3 linked regions of the Notamacropus eugenii genome follow. The protein of the gene in region 1 purifies or fractionates together with the protein of each later gene. This does not show direct contact. Links are inferred from orthologs where the notes say so. Each region holds a gene or a part of one and is shown on either strand. Other genes may lie near its edges.

The links.
Region 2: the proteins of SHCBP1 (region 1) and RACGAP1 purify together in Homo sapiens (affinity purification with mass spectrometry; 8 studies listed by BioGRID and IntAct, counting the BioPlex papers as one, with this or other methods). This does not show direct contact. The link is inferred for Notamacropus eugenii from reciprocal best matches to the Homo sapiens genes SHCBP1 and RACGAP1.
Region 3: the proteins of SHCBP1 (region 1) and KIF23 purify together in Homo sapiens (affinity purification with western blotting; 9 studies listed by BioGRID and IntAct, with this or other methods). This does not show direct contact. The link is inferred for Notamacropus eugenii from reciprocal best matches to the Homo sapiens genes SHCBP1 and KIF23.

What each region holds. Positions count from the first base shown.
Region 1 is NC_092872.1:461,188,982-461,198,828, forward strand, and holds the start of SHCBP1 (SHC SH2 domain-binding protein 1), read right to left. Parts: upstream 4,728-9,847; 5' UTR 4,607-4,727; coding exon 4,513-4,606; intron 1,211-4,512; coding exon 1,043-1,210; intron 593-1,042; coding exon 477-592; intron 1-476. UniProt on the Homo sapiens protein: May play a role in signaling pathways governing cellular proliferation, cell growth and differentiation. May be a component of a novel signaling pathway downstream of Shc. Acts as a positive regulator of FGF signaling in neural progenitor cells.
Region 2 is NC_092874.1:222,130,027-222,139,990, forward strand, and holds the start of RACGAP1 (rac GTPase-activating protein 1), read right to left. Parts: upstream 4,490-9,964; 5' UTR 4,323-4,489; intron 4,040-4,322; exon of another isoform or gene 3,962-4,039; intron 1-3,961.
Region 3 is NC_092872.1:132,838,141-132,849,028, reverse strand, and holds the start of KIF23 (kinesin-like protein KIF23), read right to left. Parts: upstream 3,995-10,888; 5' UTR 3,881-3,994; coding exon 3,870-3,880; exon of another isoform or gene 3,869-3,869; intron 1-3,868.

The sequences.
Region 1 (9,847 bases):
GTTGAAAAATAAGATTGTTTTACTTTCTGCATTGGGGCACATTACCAAGAGATTAACCACAAAACTACAGATTTGTTAAGCAAAAAATGGGCTGTCTTGTATTGCCTATTTGGTTTGAGCTATTTAATGTGCTACAATTAAGATGCCAAAAAATTAATTAAAACTGCTGTTGACTTTATAACTAGACCTTCTTCTTAAATGAGTTCAGAATACCTATGCCTCATAGCTCTATAGCCAACTTCCCCTTATCAGGAGGACACTGAAACTTAAACTGTTGAGGTTCCTAAATAGCTTTCCTTCAGTTGCTTTTAAAATTTGCTTGAATGCTTTATCTACCATGGCAATTAGATGTGGAAAACATGCTATTTTCAATCAGCTCATAAACTTTAATTAAAAATAAGTACTTTGGCTATAACAATCTGAAGTAAAGTGCTTTTAGCTAGAGACAAATGTCTTAACAACTGAATTAAATTTACCTCAACCAGCACCTCGAACACATTAGTGCGCCAGATTGCCTGCCATCCAGATGGTTCAAGGACCTTCTCCAAGTACTCAGCTGTGAATTCCCTTACCTCTGAAGCCTTGCAGTCAGCTACAAACAAATTAAATACTTGAAATAAGAATTTATATTACAGAAAGCAGAAGGAAGCTACTGTCCACCCAAGCATCCAATGTGTGCCCTCCATTCTCAATACAACATTGCAGTCAGACTGATAAGACTGTTCTCAAATGCAATAACACATATTTCTTTGTAATAACTATTCTTTGAAGCAGTATAAATATTACCATTCCCATATTATAAATGAGGAAACTGAGATTTAGAGAATTTGTATTGCTTGCCCAAGGTCCCACGCCAATGAATGGCAGGGAAAGATTTCATTCCCTATCTCAGAAACAGGAACTCTATTTACACAGTAATTCCAACAGCAGATTCTAGGGTATAGCAGTGCAGTAAAAAGATGCCATATTCCCACCAAATGGCAAAGACACTGAAAATATAAGAAGCAAGAAAGCCCATTTTACATGCAAAGTGAATACTTACCTAGAATATAATCTTGATAGGCTCTGAATCGCTCATAGAACAAAAGCTGATTTGTTTGGAAAATGTCTGGAAAAGGTACATTCCCTTCTGGCACAAACCTTTGCAAAATGGTCCCTGGCTTATCATGACTGCCATAATCACTGAATGTATCTTCATCTTGCAATAAGTCTAAAGGAATAAAAAGAAGAACATTCAACTTCCTAAACACTTCCAATGTTTTTCAATTATACAAAAATTAAAGCACTTACTCACTAGAACAACAGAGAAACACAAATGAGCACTGAGATATCACAGTTTATTTACCTCTCCCCTTGTCAGATGGGACTACAGTTTATCCAAGCAAGCCTGGAAATATATCAAATTAAAAGTTCTACTTTAAAATCCTAAGAGTTTTTTGCAAGTTTAGATTTTCACATCAAAGGATGCTTTCCTGGCCTTCCTCCAAAAAATACACCTCTAATTCTTTACCATGATTTAGTACTTTTCATTTACTCAACATTTTATAGTCATATGGTATTTCCCTCATAACAATACTATAAATTTGCTGGGGAATAGGGAAAAGGGTGATTTATGACTCTTCTTCTCTAAAGACTGGCACTGTTAGAGAACTGGGACTCTTTTTTTAATACAACTTCAAGTTCATAGTGCTTATTCAATATACAGTGACAAAACAACCTTTAATAGAGAAAGGTTTACTTTCATCTTATGTAGGCTGTGGGACTTCTCCTCACTGGAGACCTTAGCACTTCAAAAAAGAACTGTCCAAAAAATCCTCTACAAGCTAGTCCTCAATGATAAGAATATGATTAACCATAATTATGTCAAACATTTACTATCTGTAGTAATTTCTGTAGTTTACCTCTGTTTCTACTCTTAATGAGTTGAGTAGCAATGCAGGATTTATCTTTCCATGCTCACTTTCCAATTTTACCTCTCTCCCAAACAGTATTCTATACAATAACAAATCGTGTTATAACAAGATCCAATTAGTAACATAGGCCAATGTATAGGGGCAGCTCGGTAGCACAGTGGAAAGAGCCTGGAGTCAGGAAGACTCATCTTCCTGAGTTCTGCTCTGACCTCAGACACTTACAAGTATGACCTTAGAAAAGTCACTTAACCCTCTTCACCTCAGTTTCCTCGTCTGTAAAATGAACTGGAGAAGGAAATGGCAAACCACTACAGCATCTTTGTCAAAATCCCAAACGGAAAGCGTCAGACATGAATGAAAAGAACTGATCGTCATCAGTGTTTATGATAGCAATGGACAGATGGATTTAAGATTGACAGTTGTAGCATCACTGTTTCAGAGCTAGCTAATATCATATGTACTAAACATTGGTAGCACTCACTTCTCTTACCTCTCATTGCTCCTGCTTCCCTAGGATCTTTCTACTCCAAGTCTTAGGACTGCCCTGGTGGCCTGCCCTTAGCCCCACAGGATAACAATGGAGGCATAAAGGGAAATGGTGACCTACATTTCAGAAATGAAAATACTGACTGGGTTGAAACTAGAGAAACCCTACAGTGATGAAAATACCAATAACTCGCTTGTGTAGTCCTTTACATTTTACAAAGTACTTTCTTCATAAAAACTCTGTGTGCAAGGTAATAACTCAGATTTATATGGACCTTCAAAGCTTAAAAGGGCTGTTCTCGCCACAATCAATCAATATTTATTTACTGAGCACCTACTATGTGCCAGCCACTATGATAAATGCTTAGGATACAAAAAGAGGCCTTTAAATAGCTTACAATCTATTGGGGGAGACAACATTCAAATCAATATATACAGAGCAAGTTATAATCAGGATAAACAGGAAATAATTAACAAGAAGGAAGGCACTGGAATTAAGTGGGGGTGGGGAAGGCTTCCTGTAGAAAATGTATTTTATTTTTCCAGTTTACAAAGAAGGAAGCTGATATTTAATTCAACTTAAAAAACATTTATTAATGACTAGTAGGGGTGTAGTACTGAAGTAGGAGACACAATACCAATACAGAAAGAATACAACCCCACCCTCAAGGAACTTATTTTCTACATTGGAGGGGATACAATGTATTCAGAGATACATATCTTACAGGGTAAGATACTGTAAGAGCAAAGGAAAAGACAAGAGGTAAAATGAGTAGGAAAAAAAAATCTACTCTCAAACTCCTAAGTGACTTGCCTGTGATCAACAATTCAAGCCAGGTTCCAGATTAGAGCTGGAAAGGTCTGAATCCAGTCTGTTTACAAGACAGGTGAAGAAAATGATGCCCAAAGAAGGAGGTTTGTCCAAAGTCAGAGGCAAGCCTCTAAACTGAATCTTCTAAATGCAAGTCTACTGTTCTCTCATGAAACTAGGTCCTAGACCTTAACCTAGATCACCCTACGTTACATTACATATTACAGTATAACACATAATTACAGTATAATAATTTTATATTTTGTATTTCAAGGATTCATGAACCAGAATCAAACTCCTCCCCGCTTCATGACTTAGGAAACTAGAGTGGTGGGACCGGTCAGTGCTCACAGGTGATATCTGCCTGAACTTAGAGCCTTAAGTGGTTTAAGGTTTATTAGCAACCTCCCTCCTAGGTTGGCCATGAGGAGAAAATAAGGCAGTTTTTGAAAAGAGCTTTGCAAGCCTTGAAGCATCACGAAAATGCTGGCTGTTCTTATCGGCCATCAGCTATGGGTGGTCAAAGCCAGAATGCAAGCCTCCTACCAGTCTGACATCTTCGAGCATTGGCTAGGAGGAGCCGTATCCGTCACTCGCTAAGCTTGCACCTGCACTAAGGCACGACACTTCTGCTGCAGGTCACCGAACGGCAGACGTACGGCCCAAGCTCTGCCCTCCTCTCGGGCTGCACCGGCCCGAGCACTTCACAGGGTCCGGAAGGAACTCGGATCGTCCAGTCTGTCGGTCCCCTGAGCACTAACCAGCTCTACAGCGTCCCCGACACACGACCAAAGGGGACTCGCCACCTGTCGTTCCGACATAACTTTCCCTAACATCAAGCCTAAATCGGGCCCTACTTCTACCCTTCCCCAAAAGCTGACACTTGAGACTAGCGGGGCGGGGGCGGCCGCTGCCGCTGCCCCGGCCCCGGCCCCGGCCGCTGCCCCGGCCCCGGCCCCGGACGCTGCCCCTGCCCCGGCCCCAGGCTTCTTTCTCACAATAGGCCTCCCTGGTCGCTCTCTCCAGGCCGGGCCCTCCCTGCAGGAGGTCAGCCGCAGGCACCCGGTCCATCCCCATCCGTTACAGGCCGGGCCCAGAGAGGTCAAGTGAGCGCACCGAAGTCACACAGACAGGAGCGAATTACCCACGCGCTAGTGGCCTGGGCTGGGCCCTCCCTGCCCCGACGCCGCCAGGCTCCCTCCCGCCGGGCCTCCCCGGAGCCAGGACGCGCCAGGGGCGGACGACAGCCGCGGCCCCCGCCGGGTTCACTGCGGCCGCCCCGGGGACGAGGGGCATGCGTACCGTGCTTCACGTCCGCGGGCACCCCGGGAAAGCTGGGCTCCGGGCTCGGCTCCGCAGCGCCGAAGCCCTCAGCCGTCATCCACCCTTCAGCCATTTCAAATTTCCGCGGGCTGCACCCTGGGACGCCGTGACGTAAGCCCACCGGTGGTTGGAGGGTCGCCCGAAGCGCAGAGACCCAATCAGACGGAGGCTTACTTAACGTTCGAGCTTCAGGCAGGCCCGAGCCGGGCCGCGTCTCGGCAGAGCCAGACCCCGCTATGTCTCCCCCTGCTGGCGGGGAGGCGGGGCTGCAGCCTCCAGGGCGCTGCAGCGTCAGTTTCCATCTGCCTGCAGTCGTGGGGTTTTACATTGAAATCTGCAAGTGAGGTGAGACTCCCTCTCATCCAACCCTTTGATCTTTTAGCAGATTAAAACAGTTCCTGCTCTCTAGGAGGATACAACGTGTACTCGGAGAAGTAAAAACAAGCTCTGTACAGAGTAATAGGAGGCCACGCGATTCCCCAGTTAGGAATTGCCATTTCCCCTCTCCGTGCTTTTGCCCAGGCTCCCCCTTCCACCTGGAAGTCATTCTCTCCTCACCTGTGTCCCAAGGACTCCCCACCTTCCTTCAAGGCTCAGCTCAAAGGCTGCCTTCTACTTGAAATCTTTCCTCGTTCTTCCAGCTGCTAGTGACTCCCTCTCCTCATCCTCCCCATAATATTGATATTTTAATATTTTTAAAATATTATTAAAACATTAATAACATTTTATTACTGAACCAATATTTGAATCCAGGTTTCCTGGACGCCACGATCAGTATCCTATCCACTATCCTAAGTTCTTAAGACTTTCATCACTTTCTGTCTTCCATGCAGCTGAATCCTCCCAAATCTTATAAGAGTCTTTCACCCCCCAAATATTAGAAGGTGAGCTTCTTAAAAGGGAGGACTGTCTCACAGTGCTTGGCACTTGGTCAGAACTTAATAAATGCTTTTGCAAATGCTCTCCACCTCCAGACAGAGAACTGATGACATCTGAGTGCAGACTGAAGCATACTTTTTTCCACTTTATTTTTCCTCCCTTTTTTTTTTTAACAACATGGCTAATATGAAAATATGCTTGGCGTGACTTCATATGTATAATGAGTGTCACGTTGCCTTCTCCTGGGTGGGGGAGGAATGGAAGAAATGAGAATTTGGAACTCAATTTTGTTAAAATGATGTTTAAAATTTAGTTATTTTAAAATGCTTTTTCATTAATTCAGTCAATATGGATAAGGATTAGATACCTTTAAGGGAAACACTCTAGAACAGTGTTCCACGATGAGAAGAGAGGGAAACTCCTGTTGGGTCTGGAACCTGGATGAAAGAACAGGCAAGGAACTTTAAAAAAAAATAAAAAGAAGGGGAGATTAACTTGGTAAAGATACAGGCAAAATTGAGAAGTAAGCATGGAAAGAGAAATCCTGAGCTACCAAGAGTGGAAACAAAGAGGCAACCTGGGGGCTGGAATCAGAGTAGGGATACAGAGAGGGGAAGACATAGGACTGTACTGTCATGGTGACCCCAAACCTAGGAATCCTATCAGAATCCTTATGTGTACTGAGCTTCAACAGACTCCAAAGGGGTAGCACGGCTGGTCACTGAAAACCTTCAACAAAGATTGATTGACAACTTCCTCACTCCACTTGCCCAAACAATGAGGGGGAGTTTCCCAACTACCACCCCACACTTCATAAATTCCCCAAGAGATTCCTTCTCACCTTCAACCACCTCTAAAGATGATGGTATTATATTCACAAAAAGATGGGCATTAGAGAATGATTCTACAGTTTGATTTCCTCTTAAAATTTTCATGGCTTTCATGTCTTAATTAACTGCTTTTAATATTAGACTGGTATCTCTTGTACTAAATAGAGACTTTGAGCCATGATTCATATAACTGATTACTCAAAACAGGAAAAGTCACAAGGGGCCCCAGAGTCAGAGTTCCTTGAGACTTCAGGGGCCCACTTGTTAAATAAATGTAACATCTGTTTCCCTAAGAGAAACAGATATTGTGAATGTCTTTCAAACAAGTCTAGGGAAAGAGAAAAAAATTCTGGGTATCCAAGGAGAAAGAGAATGCCAATGGAATAAAGGAGAGAACTACAAAACAGAGAGCTTGGGCACTGAAAAGAAATTTTTATGACTCACACATCAATCTAGTCAGATCATTCTTCTGCTTAAAAGTTTTCAGTAGCTCTCTCTTGCCCACAGAATAAAGCTCCAACTCCTAGCTAGCATTCAAGGCCCACCACAGCCTGGCACCACCCTGCATACCCAGGTGTCAGTCATGGTTTTCATTCTTTTCTGTGCATTGTACCTTGCATCTACACTGAACCCTCTATCCCATTAATGTGGACTGTATTCTCTTATCTCCAAGCTTTTGATCCAATTATTCCCTACTTCTGGAAAATTTTCTTTTCTCTTCTTTGTTTGGTGAATTTCAAACTTAATCTTAAAAGCACAATTCAAAAGCCGCCGCCTCCAGGAAGCCTTCCTTTATACATCCTGATAGCAGTGACCTTCCCCTCTGCCCCCAAACTTCACATAACACTGTTTTTCAATTCCCTAATGCATTTCAAAAGATAATATAGAAAACCCACATGTAGCAAGATCCCACGTGTCACATAGGTCTACATGTAGTGAGGGCTGTCCTTATGTGGCTTAAAAGGAGGCAGAACAGACATCTCTAACCTCTTCTCTTCCCCACCCTTCTTCACAGGAGACTAATTCCTGCCAGGAGGGGAAACAGGGAGTTTAGGTCAGAGGCCACTTGACTTTCCTCAGAGAGAGGAGGTATCATTCCCTTAACTATTGTTAGTTTACAGAATATAATCCAGTTTGATCTAATGTTGATCGCTGTATCTCATTATTGGGGGAAGGGAGACCCCAAGCTCTTCAGCCAAGGCTTGGTCTCTTTCCTACCTAATTCCAGCTTCACAATGAGCAACTGTCAAAGAAAATCCATTTATCCAAATCAGTAGCAAAACAGAAATCAAAGAAAGTATACAAAAGAGAGTATTTACCAGACAATACAGAGTAAAAGAACTCTCCCAGTGGGAGCAAGTTAACTCAGCTCAACCAAAAGAGTGTCCTAGACCTCACCCAAGGGGAAACTGCTCATAGTCTCTAGTGTAGTGACCTGAGGATATAGACATGATGGAGCCTGTCTGCTTCTCTCATTTATTCCCAGACTCTTTTCCTTCAACAATCTAAGTGGGGTTGGCCTTTTCCATCTTCCTTATAGGTGCTAGAAGCCAGAAATGGCCTAAACCATTAGAAGCTTGAAGAGGTTAGAAGAATAATGAAGGCTGGAACTCTCCAACTCTCACCAGCTCTGCTTCATCCCTCACATGGAAAGGGCATTCTCTACCAGTAAGGAGAAAGTCTCATACTTGTAGGCTTTGGGACAGGGATTACAATGATGTCTCATATTAATAGTTAAGTATCTATAAGTTCCACGAGGGCAGGAACTGTATCACTTGCTTTTATATCTCCCCCGTTGCTTAAAACAGCGCTCTGAACCCTGTAAAACCAATATAAATGTGGAAGGCAGGAAAGAAGGGAGGAAGGTAAGAAGGAAAAGAAAGGCAAGGCAAGGCAGGGCAGGGCAGGGCAAGGCAGGGCAGGGCAGGGCAGGGCAAGGCAAGGCAAGGTAAGGCAAGGCAAGGAGTGAGTTCACCAATTTTCCCCGTATCATTAAAAGAAAAAGAACAAATCTAATTCAACTACTATTTATGAAGTGCCTATTCTGTGAAATGCTGGAGATACAAAGACGAAAAATTGATGTGGTCCCAAAAGTTTAAAGTCTACTGGTGAGAAAAAGAGGATAAAAATAATAATCAATAATGTTTATATAGTGCTTCGAGGTTTATAAAGTACTTTAAATACCTTAATCTCATTCAAGTCCCACAACAACCTTGTTAGGTGGATACTACAGGCGCTATTATCTGAATTATACAGATAACAAAACTGAGGCTCAGCCATGGTCACAATAGAAAGTTCAAAGACTGGACTTGAGCTCAGGTCTTCTTATTCATACAGCCACCAGCTTGGCTGAGATCTCATCATCTCTAGGTTGTTACAATGAATTCCTGATTGATTTCCTTACTCTCCATTTCAATCTACTCTCTACATATCTGCTAAAGAGATCTTCCCATAGTCACTGTTTTCCACTAATGGTCCTGATCAGTGAAAATTGCCTAATACTGATAACACAATAGTAAATTTGAACTTTTGTCTTGGTTTAGGTTTCAAGGGGACAAATTTTCTTTTTTTAATATGTTAAAAACTCTGTACATTTATGAGAATTATATGGGAGTTAATGAACAGAAGACTTCTACAGTATTAGCTGGTAAGCACAAAGTTACATATTCCAAAGCAGCAGCCACAAGCATGAGTCTCAAACATCTGGATGTTTGTTGTTTTCCTACTTACATTGTTTTACCATATTAACCTTTTATGGGTTTCTTTAGCCTGATGTTTGACAGCAACAGTGCCAAAATCGCTGAAGTATATAAAAATCTTTGTGTAGTCTTGAATAAAACTATAACTTGGATTTATTTTTAAAAAGTTATTTTCCTCAATTTCAGAACTGATGCCACTTTCCTACTTAAACTCCAGTTGTATCTAGGATAAAATATAAACTCTTCTGTTTTTCTTTTTAAAACCTTTCACAACTCGACCCCACTTAGTGTTTTACCCTCTGTTAGTCTACTTCCTGCACTCTCCAGTTCAACCACACAAGCCCTTTCTGTTTCTCACACTGCACAACACCTGTCATTCTCCCCTTTACACTGCTCTTCCCATGCGGAGAATGAACTTCCCCATTTCTACATCATAGAAGCCCTCACTTCTTTGAAGTATTACCTTCTACACAAAGCATTTTCTGGTCTCCTTCCCTCCTCAAGTGATAGTACCTTCCCTCCTTTACTACCTTGTGTTTATTTTTTTCTGCAAATATTTATTGCATATATACTGGAATGTGTATATAGAGATATAGTCTGGCAACTGTTCCTACAGTGTCACAGTTAGAACTACTTGAAAAACCTAGAAAAGCAAGTTTTTGCCTTGTGTCCTTGGTGCTATCCAAACATTCAACACCAGAAACTGGTATCATTTTATCAATGGAAATAACATTAAAGAAGAGAAATTAACATCACTCTTCACTGCTATATCATAAGGACTATGGGATCTTTCCAACTGACTTGCACCTAAAACCTTTCATGTGTTATTTCCTTTATTAGAATCTGAGCTTCTTGAGAGCAGGGTCTATCTCACTTTTCTATTTGTACACCCAATATTTACCACCA
Region 2 (9,964 bases), on another chromosome or scaffold:
TACCTTTGAGAATGTCAAATGAGATAACTGTATTTGCAAAGCCCTTTCCATACCCACGCAGATGTGAGCTGTAATTAATTATTCTCTCTACTACCTCTGCCCCCTTAATGAACTCATTCACTCTTCTGTTCATCTGTCACTTCTTTGCAGATAACTCCAAAATCTTCACCTCCAGCTCTAGTCTGTTCCCCAAAGTATTTCCATTTGACTCTCAACTGTCCTCTCCAAGTCAATCTTAGTCTAGTTTGAAAGGTACTCTCTCCTCACTACTCTATTTCTAAACAGGCCTCCTGCTGACTTCTCCTCTTCTAATCAGAATCACACAATCAGATTAGAAGTGAGAGGGAATCTTAGATAAATCATCTAGGTGGTGCAGTAGACACCCAAAGTCTTGATATCAAATCCGACCTCAGACACTATGCTGTGTGATCCTAGATAAATCGTTTAACCTTCCTAAGCCTCAGTTACCTCGTGTGTAAAAATGGGGGTACTAATGGCACTTACCTCACAGGGTTGTGAGGATCAAATGAAATAATGTAACATGCATTGCAAACCTTAAAATATCATATAAATGCTAGTTCTTAAATCAGTGGAACCACAAGTTTTCTAGGTTCAAGACAGTAGAGATTTTTGATTCTTCCGAGTCTTGTAGATTTTTTTCAAATGTCTTTCATTATCTGTCTACTTCTGCTATGTAGCCCAAACCATCCCACCTACAGTCTCTGCCTCGTCTAGTCCATCCTGTACATGTATCAATTAATTTTCCTAAAATATCAGCCATTTGGTTTGGTATTGTTATTTAACTTTTCTCATTATTGTTACTTAACATTTCTCTTAGGGAGATCTTACCTCCCTATATCTGTAGCTTCTTTATATCTTTAGCTCATAAGCTTCATGTTATCTTCCAAAGCAGACACACAAAAATATTTGTTTGCATGTTACTACTGCCAACAGTTTCTAATTTGGCAGTATATTACTTATTGGTATGTACAAATGTATTAGTGGTAAATGTTGCATCCTTACAAACATTACTTACATTTTAAACAGTGACTCTTAGTCCTGCTTTGCCTTTGAAGATGAATCAAGTTACCAAAAGGGGTATCACAAAATGCTCAAAAATTTCTAAATAAAATTTTAACTCACTTAAAAAAAATACTACATACTAATTAAAATGACCAAGCCTGGCCCTGGAGAAGAATTGAGAAAAATGTACCTCCATCATTTCTTTACATAGTTGGTTGATGTTGGTTGGTTTTTATTGAACTACTCCCTACACATTTTCCAAAATCTGTGTTAAAATGGATAGCTTGTTGGGGTAAGGTAATGAGGTATGAATATATGCACAAATGAAGGGGATGTAAAAACAAAATATTAACATTTTATTAATGGTTTTTGTTTTAATATCACTCTCATTTCTGGATATACCCTATCCCCAACTCAGTGAGCCACCCCTTGTCAACAAGAAAAAACTGTTAAGCTAAACCATCTTATAAATCCATTTCTGCCATAAAATGAAACCATTTACACCCAGTCCCACAACTTTCTAAGTAAAAGGAAGCTTCTTCTCAAGGCTAAGACCGGTTATGACAATTACAGTGTTGGGCTTCCTTTGGATGTACCTTTTGTCTATATTATTGTAGTTATCATGTAATATTCTGCTTACTTCATTCTATTCCAATATATACAAGTTGTTTGATTCCCACAAAGTATTTTTAGAAAGGGAGAAGGAAGACGACATCAAAAGCAGAAGTGTTTTACAGACAAGCATTCTAAGACACTACCCCAAAACTACATTATGCTAGAAGAAAGGAACAGATATTCACATCTGACCTGGCAAGGCTCTCAGACAAGCTGGCAAAGATAAGACTTAAGTCTGAGAGGAGAGGCAGCAGTAAATTCAGCTCTTCCTCTCACAAAGCTTTAAAGTAATCCCTAAACTATACTACCAAATAATATTCTCTGTTCTTTATTTGTTGAGAAACTATCACCTCTAAAATTAAGATTCTACAGAAGTAACTCAGGAATTATTTTTGGATTATTTCTGCATCAGCATTAACCCTGATATTAAAGCCAAATTCTAACTCAGTAAAACTCAAATTTATCTACCTCCTTTGGTATCAGTTGAAATGGTCTTAATTCTTCTGTTGGTTATTATTTTTACCCCAGTCAATAGTACTTCATTGCTCAGCCATCCCCTCCCTCCCCCAACATACACAATATTATTTCCAAGATGTTTATGTGAAAGGAAACAAAAACAAAATCACATTATAGTGCAATATTGTATGGCTGTGAAACAAGCCATCCCTTTCACTACAGAGGTGGCTGCTTTTCAGGATAGATGAAATAATACCTTTGTGTAGTTAGAAAATCAGTTTGTGAAGCACTTCCCACAAAACTGTGCTAGAGAACCTCAGCTCTTATTGACGGGAAGCCCTCCCGGTGCACAAGTCACTATTTCACAGATTCCCAATCTGTGAGTGTCCCTAAGGGAGCAATTTAGCATGGAGAGGCAAGAGTATCAGCTTGATGTGATTGCTTCGAGGCCCCAATTTAATTTCAATCATCCAGCCAAGAGACAGACACCCTCCTTCAGAATAACAGACTATTATAGATCTAACTGCAGGGCATGCTAGATAAGGTTTCTATCCTCCACCTTCTCAATCCCTAACCTCCTCCAGCCCCAACATTATTAACAGACTCATAAATCAGTTTTTTCTTTCAAAAATATGCATAATGTGTCACATTACTAGATGTGCCAATGTATGGGTTGCTTGTTTGGTTGGTGGGGGAGGGATAATTTATAAATGAAAATACTTGTCACAAAAAGAAATAAGAAAAATCCCCCAAAAAATTTCTAAAAATCACCGACAGAACTCCTGTGTTGCCAAGTAGATTCCTAAGCGCACCATCTCTAGCCAGAAAAATAACTTCACTACAAAAGTACTGCTCTTGCAAAACTTTCTGCGCCAAAGCATTTGAAAATATAATTTCTCCCCGCAAAATTTACACTCCTTACTTCAACCTACCGTAACTAGTCCCCCCAAATATATACCGATGCTCTCAGCCGTATAGATATGCGAGGAAAATTACTTCCTTTTATTAAGGGGTCAAGTGAAAAAAAAAAATGAATTACCTTCGTTTAGAAAAACTTACTGGCCTTCTACATGCAAAGCTCCTCCTATTCTCCTATTCCTTAATGTTTCAAGTCTCACTCCCTCCGTAAACCTTTCCTGACCAGAAAAGTGGACAAAGATCCTTCTTCTAAGCTCCCTCCAGTATAGATTGTCCTATATTATTTATCTTCTTATGCTCTCTTTCCCAAAAAATCTTGGTGACATCCTGGATCACAGAGGAAATAAACAAATGGCACCGTCAGGATTTGAGCTTGGGTCCTCTGGATCAAATCCAACTTTCTTTCTTCAGAACTAAGCTATTAGTTGGGAAATCAGTTACTAGATCCTAAGCATTCTCCAAATACCCTTCCAGGAATTCAGTTCAAAGAGAAAAACGTCCTAACACAATCTTACAGGATACAGTCATCATCGAACCCACCCTACAAAAAAATAATTCCCCACAGGAATGCTGGGGCTAGAAGTCTACTGCGCCTACTGTGCGCCTAATTCCCGGGGTAACAGATGAGGTAACATTGTTACAGCGTTTAGCAAACCTCAGAGTGCTACTATGCCCACCACTACTTCAGACATTCAGACACTATCAAGTGTAAGAATGTAGCAAAGGCACAGCAGAAGGAACCTTGGCCTTGGGAGCCGAAAGCCTGGTCTAAGTCCCAGCCGTGACCCTCCTAGGGCTGTGCATCCCCTTCACATAAGCCCTTGAACCCCTCAGAGGCTCAGTGCCTCCCATCTGCGAAATGGGGCCAAGACTACTAGACGACAGGACTAAGCCGGCCCGCGGCGCGCAGCAGCCCCTGGCCCACCCTGCCTCCCGCATGCGCATTCACCTCCTAGAGCTGGGCAGCGAGCCGGAGGCATGAGCAAGGGATGCATGGCCAGGGAGCGAGGGCACCACGGTTTCTGACGACTCTGGTGTACCCCAGCCTCTCTAGAACGCACCCCTTATTCCTTACCTCCCCCGTGGTCCGCCCCATCCCCCTCCTCCCTTACCCGACCTCGTGACCTCCGCCCCCGCTCCTCAGGCCAGGATCACCCGGAAGGCTATCAGCCCCCTCGGACAGCAGCCTCCGTTCCGCCCCCCAATCTCCCCACAACCACCGTAGCGCCGGAGGCTGGAACCCTAAAAGCCACCACCTCTTATCACAAAGCCCACGCGGAGCGGCCCTTTCAGCCAACCCCGAAACTTGCCTGGACGAAGACGGCCAGGTGGTCCGCGGGACCCCGAGTCCGAGCTTTTCTCCCCAACGGCACCTCACCCAACGACAGCCCGACGCCGCGATACCCGCTCTGATTTGAAATCCTCCAACGACCAATCAGAGGGCAGTATGTTCCTCCCCCAACCTACCAATTAGGGCGCATGTACGTATGCACGCACGCCTCGTAGAGCCTGCGCACTATCCTCCGACGAAGCCAGTCAGGCAGCCATTTTGGCTCCGGTCTTTCCTAATAAAGCCGTCAAGGGTGCCATGTTGATTGAGGGCAAGGGCTACTGAACTTCGACCTCAGGTTTTGATAGGACCCTAGATTTCGAGTTGGAAGGGGCTTTCTCAGAGCATCGTCTTACAGATCAGGAAACGTAGGCCCAGAGTGATTAAATGATTTACTCAGGATCACCCAGCTACTCCCTACAGTGGGATTCGAACCTAGGTTAAGCTGCTCCATCTGTAAAAATGGAGAAAATACTGGCATGGTCCAAATGGCTTTCATTCACAAATAGCACCCCTGAATGTTTCCTCTGCCGAGCACCAACCTGAGGGATACTTTTTTTTTTTTGCCTAGATTTCAACGCCTCAGCGTGGCCTTCAGCACCACCAGATCACCTTTGCCCACCCTCCCCAGATATTCCAGGGGCTTTTTCCCCCAAGACTGTCAATACCCATCTCCCAGAGGACTTTGGCCACCACTTCTGCCTTCGTCCCTGTCTTCCCTTTCTTGCCAAGCAAACCCTCTCTCTTTGCATTCCCTTATTCTCCAGCAGACTGTCCCTCATCATCCTCACTCTAACTTATCTTCCACCTCTTCTGTCTACTGGCTGCTTCCCTATTGCCTACAAGCATGCCTATGTCTTCCCATGCTCAAAGACCATTCCATCCCTGCTGCCCTACATCTTCTGTGGCTAAACTTCTTGAGAAGGCACAATCTGGCTTCTCATTCCTCTGAAACTGTGCTCTCCAAAGTTACCTTACTGTTGAGTAGGTTTTTTTTTTCAGTCCAGACAAACTTTTCATGACCACATTTGATGTTTTCTTGGTTTGCCACTTCCTTCTCCAGTTCGTTTGACAAAAGAGGAAACTGAGGCAAACAGTTAAGCGACTTGCCCAAGGGCATATAGCTAGTAAGTGTCGCAAGCTGAATTTGAAGTGAGGTCTTGGCTGACTCCAAGCCTGGAGCTCTATCCACTGCACCACTTAGCTGCCCCCTCTAAAATTACTAATAATCTCTTAAATGCAGCTTCTAATGACCTTTCATCAATCCTCATTCTTGATGACCTCTTTGCAGCCTTCAACACAATTGATGACCCTCTTCTTGATAATTCTGTTGTCCCTAGGTTTTTGAGACATACCTCTCTCCTGGTTCTCCTCCTGTCTAAACACTTCTCAGTCTCCTGTGCTAGATCTTCATCCAGGTCACTTCCACTAATCATGGGTGTCCCATAGGGTTCTGTCCTGGGACCTCTCTTCTTCTCCATCTATACTATTTCACTAAGTGACCTCATCATCTCCCATGGTTTAAATTATCATCTCTTTTCAGATAATTCTGAAATCTCTTTACCTAATCTTAACCTTTTTCCTGAGCTCCAGTTTCATATCACCATCTACTTATTGGAGATCTCAAACTGATTTATCCCATAGATATCTTAACCTCATTAAGACCAAGACTGAACTTGTTATCTTTTTCCCCAAAGCCCTCCCTACTTTCTAATTTCCCTATTAGTATAAAGAGTATCATTAAACTTTAAGCCATCCAGGTTTCCAATATAGGTGTTATCTTTAGCTCCTCTCTTTCTCATTCCTTATTTCCAATCTATTACAAAAGTCTGTTGATTTCATCTTTATAACATCTCTCATAATTTAAATTCTCTGACACTGGCACCACCTGGCTGCCAGCCCTTATCACCTCACTCTTGGACTATTGCAATTGCCTGCTGGTTGGTCTCCCTGACACGTCTCTTTCCAATCCAATCCATCTGCCACTCAGCTAACGAAGTGATCTTCCTAAGGTGCAGTACTGGCCATGCCATACTCCTACAGTGGCTCCTGATCATCTCCAGGATCAAATATAAAATTGTCTGTTTGCTGTTCAAAGCCCTTCATAAACTACCACCCCCCCCCACTTTTCTAGCCTTCCTATATTTTACCTTCCTTCCCTTCTCTATCATTCCCACCCACCCACTCTGTAATCCACTGACACTGTCTTCCTTGATATTCCTCACTTAAGATACTTCATCTCCCAACTCAAGGCATTTTCACTAGCTGTTGACCTCCTTACTCACCTCCACCTCCTAGCTTCCTAAAAGTCTCAGCTATCTACAGGAAGCCTTTCCTGATCTCCCTTAATTCTAGTGCCTGCCTTCAACATCCTGTATATAACTTGTCTGAACAATGTTATTTGCACCTTATCTGAGCTCCTTAAGAAGAGGGACAGTCCTTTGCCTTTCTTTGGATCCCAAGAGTTTAGCACAGTGCCTAGCCCGGGGGTGGAGAACCTGCATCCTGGAGGTCACATGTAGGTCTTTGGGTGCAGCCTTTTGACTGAGTCCAAGTTTTACAGAACAAATCTTTTTATTAAGGGGATTTGTTTTGTAAAGTTTGGATTCAGTCAAAAGACCACACTTGAGAACCTAGAGCGCCACATATGGCTCCCCACCCCTGGCCCAACTTGAAAAAGACATAGCAGGTATGTTCATCATCCTCATGAATGGCACAAAGCTGTGAGAAATAGCTGAGAAGATGGATGACAGGAACAAGATTCAAGAATTAACAGACCAGAAGTCTGGGACTAAAACTAACAAAATGAGACTCAAAAAAAATTAAAAATCCTGCTCTAGTTTCAAAGAATCAACAGGGCACATTAAAAAAGAGAAAGAGAAGAGTTTTAGTTGACTACAAACTCAGTATGGGTCAAAATTATGATACTGTTGCTAAAAAAATCCCTTATATAATCTAATCTTATATTAAAAGAAGCATGGTATCCACAGCAAGGAATATAGTAGTGCCCCCTGTACACTGCCCTGCTCAGACTTTGGGGAGATAATTTACCTCTCTGGGACAGTATTCTTATACAGAAAATAAGAAAGGGGCAGTCAGGTGATCAGGAAGACCTGAGTTCAAATCTAGCCTCATACACTTTTACTAACTGTGTAACCTTGAGCAAGTCACTTAGACCAATTTGCTTCAGTTTCTTCATCTGTAAAAAGAACTGGAGAAGGAAATGGCCAACACTCCAGTATCTTTGCCCAGAAAACCCTAAATGGGGTACAAAGAGTCAGACGTAACTGAAATGACTGAATAACTATAACAAAAATAAGGAAATTCAATGAAAGGTTTCAGCCCTAAGTTGACTCCTAGTTCTAACATTCTATGGTTTAATGATTGTCTAGTGCAAAATTCACTCCTGTTCATAGTTATTCAGTCACCATTCCAGACCAACATCTGGAGAGTCTTATCCCAGGATTCTAGGGGTCTTCTGACCTAGGGACTACCCAGTCTAATTGAGGAGATAAAGCAAGTACCAACGTTGACAATGAAATATAAGAAGCAAAAATCAGAAACACAATTTCTAAATGCACAGAAGTAAAGGAGGAAAGGGTTAGGAAGAAAGAAGTAGAGGGGAATGGAAGTTACTGTAATAAAAAATTAATGGAATAACCAGGAACCCCCTAATAATGGGTTTCCTGGAATGGGTGAGTCTTGGGGAAAATGTTGGGTGCTGGTAAAAGATAATTTGATGAAGAGTAGTAGAGTGTCAGTGAATAAGCGACAAAGTGGGAGAATAATGACCTGTATGAATGGGTAGAGCTTAGAAATGGCAATTTGATAATAAAGCCAACGAGAAATCCTGCACCTTACTCCCCCCCCAAAAAAACCCAACAATACTTCTTTCTGAACAAATTATGGAAAGAGGAAAGGAAGATTTTTCAATAAGCTTAACTATTGCATGGACATATCTAAGGTCACCTTTATCCCGGGCAAGTCCCATTTAACTTTCTGTATCAACCATTCAGCTTTCGAAGGAAAGAAAGAGTAAAGACAAGGGTGGGAGGTTTCTGACATCTTTTGCTCCAAACCTCCAGATTGATGGGATGGGATCCAGAGGTACAAACCTCCCAATATTTCCAGGAGGAGCTTGGCAGGATGAGGGAAGAAAACCTTGGACGCTGGCCTCTCTCCCATTATTGTAGTCCTTATTTGTCGGGCTTGTGCCCCCACCCCTCTCCTCCCCCTCTCCCAGGCTCAGAGCTTCTGCCAGGAAACTGCTAATGGGATTTATGCTAATGGGGCTGATGCAGGTGATTGCCTGAGTGTGTCAGTGGCTCCGGCTCTGCCTGACTGCTCCCTGGGCCTCCTAGACCTTTCGTCCACTGGGCTTTCCTGGTTGCCAGCCACCTCAGACTTCACCTTGTGACATGAAGTGACAAATTTGATCTGCCTCTTTCTTGGAGGAAAGGATACCAGTTAGCACCCAGGGACTTCCTGACACGGATAGGGGTCAAAATCCCATTTCTTCCGTGGTCTCACCTGCTCTTCCTCTGTCTCCCATTTTCTTTTTTGCTTACTGACTTTTGCTGTTCTTTGCCTTTCTCTGCTTTGTTGCTGTTTTTCTGGCTTCTTACTGTCTTTCTCCCTCCTTCCCTCATTTCACAGTATTATGGCATCATAAATTTAGAGTTGGATGGGACTTTATTAACCATCAAATCTAACCCTTGCATTTTACAGATAAGTAACAGGCTCAATGCCCAGGATCACACAACTAGTGTCTGAGGCAGAATTTGAATCCATTGTTTCCTGTCTTCAAGTGTAATGCTCTCTTCTCCATAGCATTCACTATTCAACCTCTGACACCAGTTCTTCCTGAGGTCTTAGTCTCCCTCTCACGGCACAGACTCTCTGTGAATATCCTAGAAATACCTTCAGCGGGGGAGCCAAACTAATAGAGTATAAGTTTGTATTTCATTTGTATAGGACATGGCACAGTAGGCACTAGTAGGCACATCCAGCAAATGTTTGTTGATTGAGTGTTCAGAAGAAATTCCTTTAAAGCTACCCTTGAGATTCATCTTAGTCAAATAAGTCCTGAATAAAAAGGTTATACTGTACGCATGATGACCCATACAATGTGATTTGCCACCATACTGCACAAGACTAGGGATTCTGGAGCCTCCCTCTTTTTTCACCCCATTCTCTCCCATGGGCCATAATGGAAAAAGCACCAGTTTTGGCATCAGGGGACCTGGGTTTACATCCCAGCTCTTCTATTTACCACCTGTATGAACTGCCCGAGTCATAGTATCCTCATCTGTAAAATGAGGGGTTTGAAAGGCATTATCTCACCCAGCTCTAAATCCCATGATTCTGTGAACTTTCTCTCTCTTTAAGCCCTTGAAGATCCAGTAAGACCGAGAGTGAAACAACATTTTTGGCAGAGCTTTCATCCCCACCCCAGTTTGCAAAGTAAGCTGGAAATGAATCTTATTTCACCAAAGGATTGTAGGAGGAACGTAAAACACAGAAGAGGGTGTTAACCCGAGTTGCGTAGAGTATAATATTTCAGCTTTGTTGTCTCCTTTTCAAATAATAGAATTTTAAAGCTAGAAAAAAATCTTTTTAGAA
Region 3 (10,888 bases), about 330 Mb from region 1:
TAGGTCATTCCTAGAGTAGGGAATAGAATGAACACAGCAGGAGAATGTAGGTGGGTACCCAGGAAAGAGGGAACTGAGCACACAGAAAGAAGCAATATGGGACAACGCTAAAAAAGTAAGGTGGCACTGGACTGTGGCAGCCCTTGAATGCCAAGCAAAGAAAACATCTTTGTTTACTAAGCAATAAGGAACAAGTAAAAAGTTATTGGAAAAGTTATTCTTGGCTATGATTGGGTTGGAGGAAGGAAAGTGCAGGCAGAAAGACTTTTAAGAAGACCACTGCAATAGTCTAGGTGAGTCGTAGGATTTTGTTGTTCAGTTATTTTTCAGTTGTGTGTCTGACTCTTCATGACCTCATATGGGTTTTTTTTTTTTTGGCAAAGATACTGGAGTGCTTTGCCATTCCCTTCTCCAGCTCATTTTATAGATGAGGAAACTGAGACAAACAGGGTTAAGTGACTTGTCCAAGGTTACATGGCTAGTAAGTGTATGAGACCAGATGTGAATTCAGGAAGATGAGTCTCCCTGAATCTAGCCCCTACATGCTACTCACTGCATCATGTAGCTGCCAGGGCAGTAGGATAAGAGTCGGGGCAAAAGGAATAAAGACATGAGAGATGTCAAAGAGGCAGAACTAACGTGATTTAATAGTGGATTAGAAGTAAAAAGTGAGAAAAGTAAAAAACAAGATTCTATATATGGGAAACAAGGTAGACGGCACTATTCTCAATTCCTTACTTTCCTTCCCCCCACATATTCAACAGTTACCCAATTTAGCAATTCCTGCCTCCTTGAGTCTTGGAATCTGACCACTTCTGTCTACTCACAAAGCTCCAAACTTAGTTCAGGCTCTTATCATCTCTTGCCTACATCACTTGGTTTTCCTGCCTTAAATCTCTTCCCATTCCAATCTACCCTGTAAACTGCTGACAAAATTATAACTTTCTTATTCCAACTCCAGGGGCTCCCAATTTCTTCAAGAAAACTGAATCTGAACTGTCTTAGGAAGATTCTGAAGACCACTCTGGCAAAATAAGGTATGGGACACTGAGGTTCTTTCTCAAGCTGAATTGCCAAGCATTCAAACTCTATTGCACAGAATGCAACTCCAATGGGCTGGTCACACTGTTCAAAAATTTAAGTTTGCCTAAAAGACTATTTTTTGGAGAACTTACACAAGGCAAATCCTCACACAGAGGTCAGAAGAAAAGATACAAGGTACTCTCAAGGTCTCTCTGAAGAACAAAGGAATCTATTATGAGACATGGGAGACACTGTACAGGATTGTCAAGCATGGCACGCTCACACCCAAGAAGATGCTGTGCTCATAAAGCACAGCAAAATTACAGCAGCTCAAAAGGAACATGAGATGTGCAATGTTCATGTGGACTATTTGTGCCTGACTGTGGTAGAGCTTCTGAGCTCCTACTGGTCTGATCAGCCACTGTCAGACATACTGCACCCTGACCCAGACATGGTAACGTCATTTTAGTCCTCTTTGAGCATGAAGGACAAGCACAAATCAATTTCTTTTAGGAGCACTCATAAACTTTAAAGCCCCTAGTAGAAACCTGATCCCAATTCATCTTTCCAGTCTCAGTGGACTTTACTTCCTCTCCTGAACTCCAGGACACAACTAAGCAAGCCTTCTCTCTGTTCCTCAAATGACAATTCCTATTCTATCTTTGTCCTTTGTATTCTATCCCTCACTTATGGAGTATCCTCAGTCATCTCTGCCTCACAGAATCTCCCTCCTTTCTTAATCTCATTATATTTATATAATTTATATATTTAACCTTATATTTAACCAATTTGTATATATTCTCCATCTTGATTCTATATATACTTGTTTCACTTTGAGACTATAAGTACCCTGTGAGTAAGAATTGTTTCATTCTTTGTACCAGTATCTCCAATGTATGGGAATAGTAGGTTCTTAATGAATTCTTTTTGATTGAAAGGAGCCAAGGACAGACACTTAAGAATTTCCAAAGCAAAGAGTCAAGGATGGATATGAGAAACCAACAAGAAAGTTACCAATAGAAGCATCTGGTCAACAATCAAAAGCTGCAGAGAGGTCAGTAAGGAAGAATGACTTTTAAAAACACTGAATTTTGCAAATAATTGGACAATGGTGTGCAGTTTCAGTAAAGTGGTAGGAAGAAGTCTGATGGCAATAGGTAAAATAGAGGGAGATTAATGGGTGAATGAATGCTCAGACCAAACACCATTATTTCCTTCCTACAAAAAGTTATGCTTCCTATTCAGATACCTATGCCCTAAACCATAAATTTCTTACTTGTTAACAGGTTTTCTTTTTTACTTCCATGTATTTTCAATGCATTTCACTACGTCTATAGTTTCTATCTCTTGGTCTAGAACTGTGAGTTCATCAATAGCAATCTACTAATTAGGAAAGTGGCCACTCTCCTTCATGAGCAGCTCATATATAAATTATAATTAGTTATAGAGAGTTACACATAGAGCTGCATTTCTATACAGAGATACAGAGATAATATTTGAAATATATTGCAAATAATATTTGCAAAGTGTTTAACACAGTACCTGTCACATTTCCTCCCCTTAAATAATATGGTCACACAGCTCATTCAGTGTCAGAGGTAGGACTTGACGTTTCTATCTTCAAGAATCTGTGATTTTAATGGTGTGGGAGCTAATTCTACAGATGCAGATCACAAACCTTTTACCCCTTAGTAAAGAGTTTACAGAGTTGCTCCAGTTAAAGAATGATAATAATCACCCTACAAATGAGCTTCTCTACTACTCTGATTCCCAGACAATTAAATGACAGTACATCATCTAACAGTACTCAATAATAGCCCATATTTAGCATTTTAAAGGCTTTTCTCAGAGCCAACACTGTGAAGCAGGAGTGGTAGCTGTTACCCTTTTACAGATGGTGAAACCTAAGGTGTACAGAGGCTCTGTCTTGTCCAAGGTCATACAGTATCTGGCAGAGACAGGTCTTAAAATACAGGTCCAGTTCTTCCTTCATTGCACCAGTCTACATCTCTAAGCAATACCAGGGTTATCCTTTTTAAGACCAGAACAAAAAAGACCTACATACAATACCCTCCCTCCAAGGACCTCTAAATTTAAAAAAAAAAAAAAAAAAGGCTGAAGTCTCTTTGCCAGGGGCAGGAGGGGGTTGAGGGAGGGAGAGGGTAAGGGGGTAAAGGAGTGATAGACGGGAACTACCAGTGTGAAATAACACGGTGTCCCCCAAATCGTAGCAGTTTCCCACAGCACTAAGTCTTATCAGAAAAAGTTAATGTATGGGTGGTTTTACTGCTGCTTCCCTCTCCCCCTTTTTAAAAGAGGGGCAGATGACTCACAGGGATGACTTCACTTAAGAAATCCAAGGTGAAGTAAAAACAAAAGATATGAATAAAAATGGGTGGCCTGGCCTCCCCTTCTCACAAGGGCGCGGAACCGGACCGGGAGAGGGGAGGGGGGCAGGGCAGCCGGCCTCCGTTACCTCCTCTGCTAAGTTTGCCTGAAGAAAGTTTGGGGACAGTGGGAAGGGGCGGGGCAAGCATGGGGAAGGCCTTCGGAGTCCAGGAGGACGCCAGGTCAGGTCTGGAGACAAGGGAGCGGAGGAGGGACGCATCCCATTCCTAGCCCCGAGGAAGGAGGGGGGCTGCCCCACGCACCCCAAGGCTTCGCCTTCCCTTCCCCAGGCTGTGCTCCCGGCGGGAGCCCGGGCGATGGCACTCGCGGGGATCGCCGTTCCGGGGCGAAAAGAGGGGGGTCTCGCCCCGGGGCCCGACCCCTGCCCCCGGGAGCCCCCTCCCCTCCCCTCCCCCAGCCCAGCGGCCAAGTCGCGCTATCCCGACGCGGACACTCACGCTGGCTTCATGGCCGCAGCGGGCGCTCTATCGGCGGCAGGCGGCGGAGAGAGCTCGGGGCCAGCTGGCGGGAAGGCTGGGGGGTCTCTGTCGCCGCGCTCGGGTCCCCGAGAGCTCCCTGACGCACAAGCCGAACGGTCGCTCTCTTCACCCTCGCCCAGCGAGGCAAACCGGACCGGGCGGGCGCGCGCCCCCGGCGCATTTCAAACGGACCAATCAGCGTCCACGGCGCCCCCCACGTGCTCCGGGGCGGGGCAAAGAGTGTGGCTTCGGGCGGGAAGCGTCCCCCCTCGAGGACGGAAGTGGGACTCGTTTCCAAGGAAACCAACAGCTGAGGGGCAAACTTCCCTTCCGGAAGGAAAACAGTGACCCGACTTCTGGTACTCGCGCCCCGCAATCCCAAACGCCCTGGGTGGCGGGTCTTGTCTGCCTACGTACTGAGCGGTGTGAGGCTACGCTGCGGCCTTCCTCATCTCCCCTCACGTGTCCGTCCCCTCCGCCATCCTCCCTCCGAGCCAGTGTCCAGCGCTGGACGATTCCCGAGTGCCAGGGAAAGCGAAAGCCAGGAGCTCCCAGGCTGCCGGTGGGCAGCGTGCCATCCGCTGTAGACAGACGTGGTAGAGACAGGACAAGCAGAAGCGGGGCCTTGGGGAGGCTGGGACGTGAGCGTGATAGGCCTGGGGGCAGCCAGAGCCTCGAGAGGGCTGCAGGTAATTCTGTCTGTCTGTCTGCGTCTCTCAGAGGATTTCAGGATGATGAGTTTCTGGAGACCAGGAAAGCAGCCTGGTAGCGTCAGGTTATTCGTTATTGAGAAAGAAAGAGAGAGACTGGGGGGGAGCATATTATGAAGAGCTCCAGATGCCGGGCGATTTTATGTATTTGTCTTCGAAGTGATCTGGAGGTGACACGGTCAGACTTGCGTTTTAAGAAAATCCCTCTGACCGTAGAAGGGAGGATGAACTGGAGTGGGGAGAGCCCACCCGCCGGCTATTACGATAATAGAGGTGTAGAGGGAGGAGTCTTCAGCAAGGTGGTGAAGAAACCTTTGCAACAATCAACATAACCAAGCAAAATCAATTAACTCGGTACGCCAGCAAAATTCTATGTCTCTTTTTGCCACCCTTGTGCTGGTTCATCACCCCTGTCCTGAAGTGGAAAACAAAGTTTCTTCATAGACCCTTTGGAGATGTGGTTGATCTTGGCTTTGATCAGGCTTAAGTCTTTCAACGGTGCTTTTCTTTACAATGTTGTTACTCTGTTGTTACAATGTTGCTCTTTTCTTATTCCCCAGTTATGATAGTGGTTTCATGCCCTTCTTCCTCCTTTTCACATTAGTAATATTCTGCTTTTACTCTTTCTTTCCTTCCAACCCTCAGAGCAAATCCATGTTATGCCCTACCCCCTACCCATATTCATCACCGTTTTACTCCCTCACACTCTTTAAAAAGATTAAGGTTATAAAGGGACACTCGTTTTGTCTTTCCATGTTAATAACATTGTTCAATTCCTTTCAAATAAACTTACATTTCCAGGTTTCTCTAGACTGTTAATATTTCAAAGTTATTAATCTGCTTACTCTGATCTTTTTAATCAGAAATACTTGAAAGTCTTCTGTTCCATTGCAGGTTCACTTTTTTTTTCTTTGTAGGATTATACTCAGATTTACCAAGTAATTTATTCTTGGTTGTAAACCCAGATTATTTGCCTTTTGGAACATTGTATTCCAAGATCCCTCCTATTTGTAGTAAAAGCTACCAGGTCTTATGTGATCCTGACTGTAGTTCATATTTTTTTTCTTTGATCTGGGAGCTTTTGGATTTTGACTGTGACATTCCTGAGACTTTCACTTTTGGGGTTTCTTTCAGAAGATGATTAGTAGGTTCTGTCTTTATTATGTCCCCTAGTTGTAACAGATCTGGGCAATTTTCATTTATAATTCTTTAAAGTATAATGTCCAGAATTGAAGAAATAAGCATAGGCAATGAGGAAACAAAACTGTCATTTTTTGTACATAATATGATGGTTTACCTAGAGAAACCTGGAGTCACCTTAAAAAGTAGTCAAAACAATGAACAATTTCAGCAAAGTTTCAGGATACAAAATAAAACCACACAAATCGTCAGCATTTCTGTGTATTACCAACAAAATCCTGCAGGAAGAGATAGAGAAATTTTATTAAAATAACAACAGACACTATAATATTTGGGAGTCTACCTGCCAAAACATACATAGGAACTATATGAACACAGTTTTGAAACTCTTTTCCGACAAAGACAGATCAGAGAAAAATTAATTGAATAGACTGAGCCAATATAATAAAAATGGCAATATTACTTATTCAATTCCATAATAATCAAAGAATTACTTTATAGAACTAGAAAAAAATAACAAAATTCATATGAAGGAATAAAAGGTTAAGAATATCAAGGGAATCCATGAAAAAAAAAGGTAAGGAAGGGGGACTAAGAGTACCAGATGTCAACTGTATTGCAAAGCTGTAATTGTCAGAAAAGTTGGGTACTCAATAAGAAATAGATTGATCGGTGAAACAGATTAGGTATCTAATATACAAAAGAAAATGAACACAGTAACATTGTGTTTGATAAACCCAGAGATCCCAGTTACAGGGAACAAGAGCTCTATTTGACAAAAACTGCTGGGAGAACAGGAAAGAAATCTAGCAGAAACTAGCATAGACTAACATCTCATACCATATACCATCATAAGCTCAAAGATGAGCTCATGATTTAGAAATAAAAAGTGCTAGCATAAAAAAATTAGTGTATCAGAGGGAAACTTTCCTGTCACATCTATGGATAAGGGAAGGAATACAAGGGTTTTCAGGAGGTAAAATGAATAATTTTGATTATCTAAAATTTAAAAGATTTTGCCCAAACAAAACCAGTGCAGCTAAAATTGTAAGAAGAACAAGAAACTGGAGAAATTATTTGCCATAAGTTTTTCTGACAAAGATCTCATTTCTAAAATGTATAGGGAACTGAGGCAAATGTGCAATAATAGGAACCATTCCCCAACTGATAAATGATCAACAGATATGAATAGGCAGTTTTCAAAGGAAGAAACCAAAGCCATCAATTGCCATATGAAACAATGCTGTAAATCACCAATAGAGATATGCAGATTAAGACAACTCTGAGGTACCATCTCATATGCATCATATTGGCTAAGATGACAAAAAAGAAAATAACATAAGGGAAAAACAAGTATACTAATGCAATTGGTAGAATTGTAAATCAGTCTAACCATTCTGGACAGCAATTGGGAATTGTGCCTAAAAGGCTATTGAACTGCATATCCTTTGCCCCAGCAAAGGTACAACTATTAAGGCTATTCACCTTGTGTTGTATTTGTCCTTCATTGCTGAAGAAAACCATGCCATCAGAGAAATGATGACATGAGTTGTACTTGACTTTGTTTTGAGTGAGGGAGGGCTGTGCAAGGTCACCAGCCACTTATCCTCCAGAGCCATCTGGATCCAGTGACCAGATATTTCTCAGGATGACTGGAGATGACCAAGGATGCACTAGGTGACCTTGGGCCCTTTAGGCCAAGGTCTTTGCAGGCACTCACTTAGGGTGAGGTAACGCCCATTCATTGAATAGTCCTGTTTAAGAAGTAGCCAGGTCATGGCCCCTTTAATAAGGTCAAGAAAAACAAAGACATCAGGGTGGGTGGGAAACAGCAACAATTACTATTGGTAATCACTCTAAAGCTAAGGAGGGTCCAGAAGAGCCCTTGGGCAGGGGCTCATTGTCATCCTAGCTTCAGAGTGTAGTAGATTTAAGGTTTTGGAAACGGAAAAGATGGGAAGGGAAGCTGAGTTACCCAGCTAGCTGGGTCCCTATTCAGCCAGCTGCATCTACTCACAGGATTGTGTTCGTCCTTCAATGCCGAAGAGGACCATACCCTCAGAGGAATGATGACATGACTAGCACTTGACTTTGTTTTGAGTGAGGGAGGGCTGTGCAGCTCACCAGCCTCACTTCTCTTCCAGGCTATCCACCAAAAAGAGCAAAGAAAGAGGAAAAAGATCCATATGTACAAAAATAAATTTTTAGTGGTAGCAAAGAATCTTAAGGTAGCAAAGAAACTTAAGGGATCCCCATTGGGCATGGCTAAACAAGTTATGGTATACGAATGTGACAAATACTATTGTGCTGTAAGACAGGATGAAAGAAATGATTTTAAAACCTTTATGAACTGCTGCAAAATGAAGTAAGCAATGCCAGGAGAACAACGACGTGAGCACCACAGTGACCTACCACAATTCCAAAGGACGCATGCTATTCACCTGCAGAGAGAGCGCTGATGGACTCAGAGTGCATTTTTTTCTTGCTTTTTTAGAGGGGAAGAGGGCATGGCTAATATGCAGTTTTGTCATGCATGACTACGTATATTTGTAATAAGTTTTGTTTTTCATGCTTTCTCATTGGGTGAGGGAGGGGGAAAAAGGAGGGAGAGAATTCAGAACTAAAAAAAATTAAGTCTCTTTACTTAAAAAATAATAAATTATAGTGTATAAGCTTTTATAAAAAAACTGTGGTTTTCATTAAATCCAGTAATTTTAAAATTACCTCCCCTTCATCCAGAGAAAGAACTATAGAGTCTGAATGAAGCATACTATTCTCTCTCTTTTTTTGTTTTTTTCTTTCTTGTGGTTTTTCCCTTTGGTTCTGATTCTTCCTTACAACATGACTAATGTGGAAATATGTTTAATATGATTGTACACTTCTAGCCTATATTAGATTATATGCCATCTTGGGGAGCAGAGAGGGGAGGGGAGGGAGAAAAAATTGAACTCAAAATCTTATTAAAAGTGAATGTTGAAAACTAAAATTAAATTTTTTAAAAAAGAAAAATAAATTATCTCCCCTGGATCTATTTTCCAGGTCAGTAGGCTTTTATTAACAAATATCTTGTATTTTACCTTTTTGATTTGGTTATAATAATTTTTGCCATCTCATGGAGTCACTGGTTTTTTGTTTTTTGGGGTTTTTTTGGTTTATTCTAGTTTCTATTTCTTAGATAAAGTTTACCACATTCTCGTCTAAGTTATTTAATACCTTTTCAATTCTTTCCTGCAGGAGAGATTTTATTTCACTTTTTATGTTTTCCTTCAAAATCCATTTCTTTTCCTTGGTGCCTCTGCTTGCAGCTGTTATAGTTACATGTTTTTTCATTTGGGGGAATCTCTAGATTTACAATAATTTTTGATATTGATTTCTCCTTTCTTTGATTTACTTATTTCTCCAGCTTTAGCTCTTGAATTAGGACAGTGACAGTCTCTAATGTGCTTTTGTGTGCAATGGTTTTGGGCTTATCCTCGGTCATCTGCATTCTACTGGTAACCACTTCTAAGGTTAAGAACTCCTGATCTTTAAGGTTCTGAGCGTTGGATTTTCAGGACCTTCTGTAGCATCTCAGAACAGAGTGTTAGAAGCCTCTGAGCCCCCTGGGCCTGGGGTGTTCTGGTCTCTGTTGTAGTGATGCCTTCTGGTTCCCAGCTTCCTATCCTGAGGCTTTTCTGACCACCCTGAGGCTTTACAGGGGGAGATTCTGCTCATACTGCCTCTAGACAGCATTCCTGGGAAACACTGTCCCAGGTCCATCTCTAGTGGCACTAGCAGATGCTGACTTAGCTGGTGGCCTGTCTTACCTATTGCCCTTGGGCTTCTAGCTGACCTCTTATGCCATTTGAGGTTGAAAGAATTACAGTCATTTCTTGTACTTCCTGACCATTATTTGATCTGAAGTGAACATTAGAGTCTTAATGGAGTAGATATGTCTAAACAAGGTTTACACAAAGGGAAAATATGTTTGATATATAGAAGATGGATGGCCATTTCAGACTGCAACAGTGGCACGTGTGCCTAAATTGAGCTAATAGACAAATTAAGTAGCTAAATAAAGCTTATCCAAATTCACCTCAGACTGACAGAGTAAGGCTGTATTGACATGTTTTTTCTATCTAGGAAAACCTCTGATACTGTATTTCTAAAAGGAAAACCCTCTTAACCAACATGAGTGAACTATCTGTCATCAACCTTCTTAAATAAATGTGTATTTATGAAGTGATAAAAAAAAATGACCAAAATCATGGGGAAAATGAATTGTTATAATAAATAAATTTTATTTTACATGTTTTTAGAAACAAGAAATCTATACAGGGAGCACAATTTGAAAAACATCTCTTATTTAGAAAGGGGGCTCAGTTGACCTTATCTTTTCATCCATAATGGATCTCTGGCAAGAAACCAACATTCAACTAGTTCATGTTTGTGGTCTAATCAGTAGACCAAACGTTATTCATATCAATTTTATAGCCACAGTCATTTAAGGTTCTCCAAATTATCATTATATTGTTATCAGTAAGCATCAGTTCATTTATTCAGAAAAGAGACATTGCATAGCTACTTAAGGAGTTACAGCCTTTTCTCAGGTACTGATTAAAAGTGATCAGTATGATCTGAACATAAATGACTTCTTCCAAACATAATCTACCTTAATTGCAATGTTAGGAAAATTGAGGATAACAAGATATACTCCTATTGGGTGTATCAGTAAACTGCTTGCCATTCCTTCAGCTTTCTAATGGTACTAAGACATAACTGCATATCATTTTATATGATACTGCTTATTATATCTGTATCCCCTCTACCTCTCTCCATAGAGAGAGGGGGATGGGAAAGGAGAGAGGAGAGAGGATGGGGCAGGGCGTTGTGGTAGAGTAAATAAATATAGAGCTGGCCCCCAAAATCAAGAAGTTCTAGGTGATCCAAGACTAGTCACTTAACCTTTCAAAGCTCTAACTGTAGGCAAGTCTGTTGATAAGTTACAGAGAAGGAACTGAACTTTATTTGTAGAAAGTTCCCTCATCTGTAAGTACTATATATATATCACTGAGCCCAAAGGTCCAGTTCTTATCCCTAAGGAAATGTAAGTGATATTTCTTGAACTTGTAAATAATTCTTAGTTTACTTTAGAAGAAAATTTCTAAA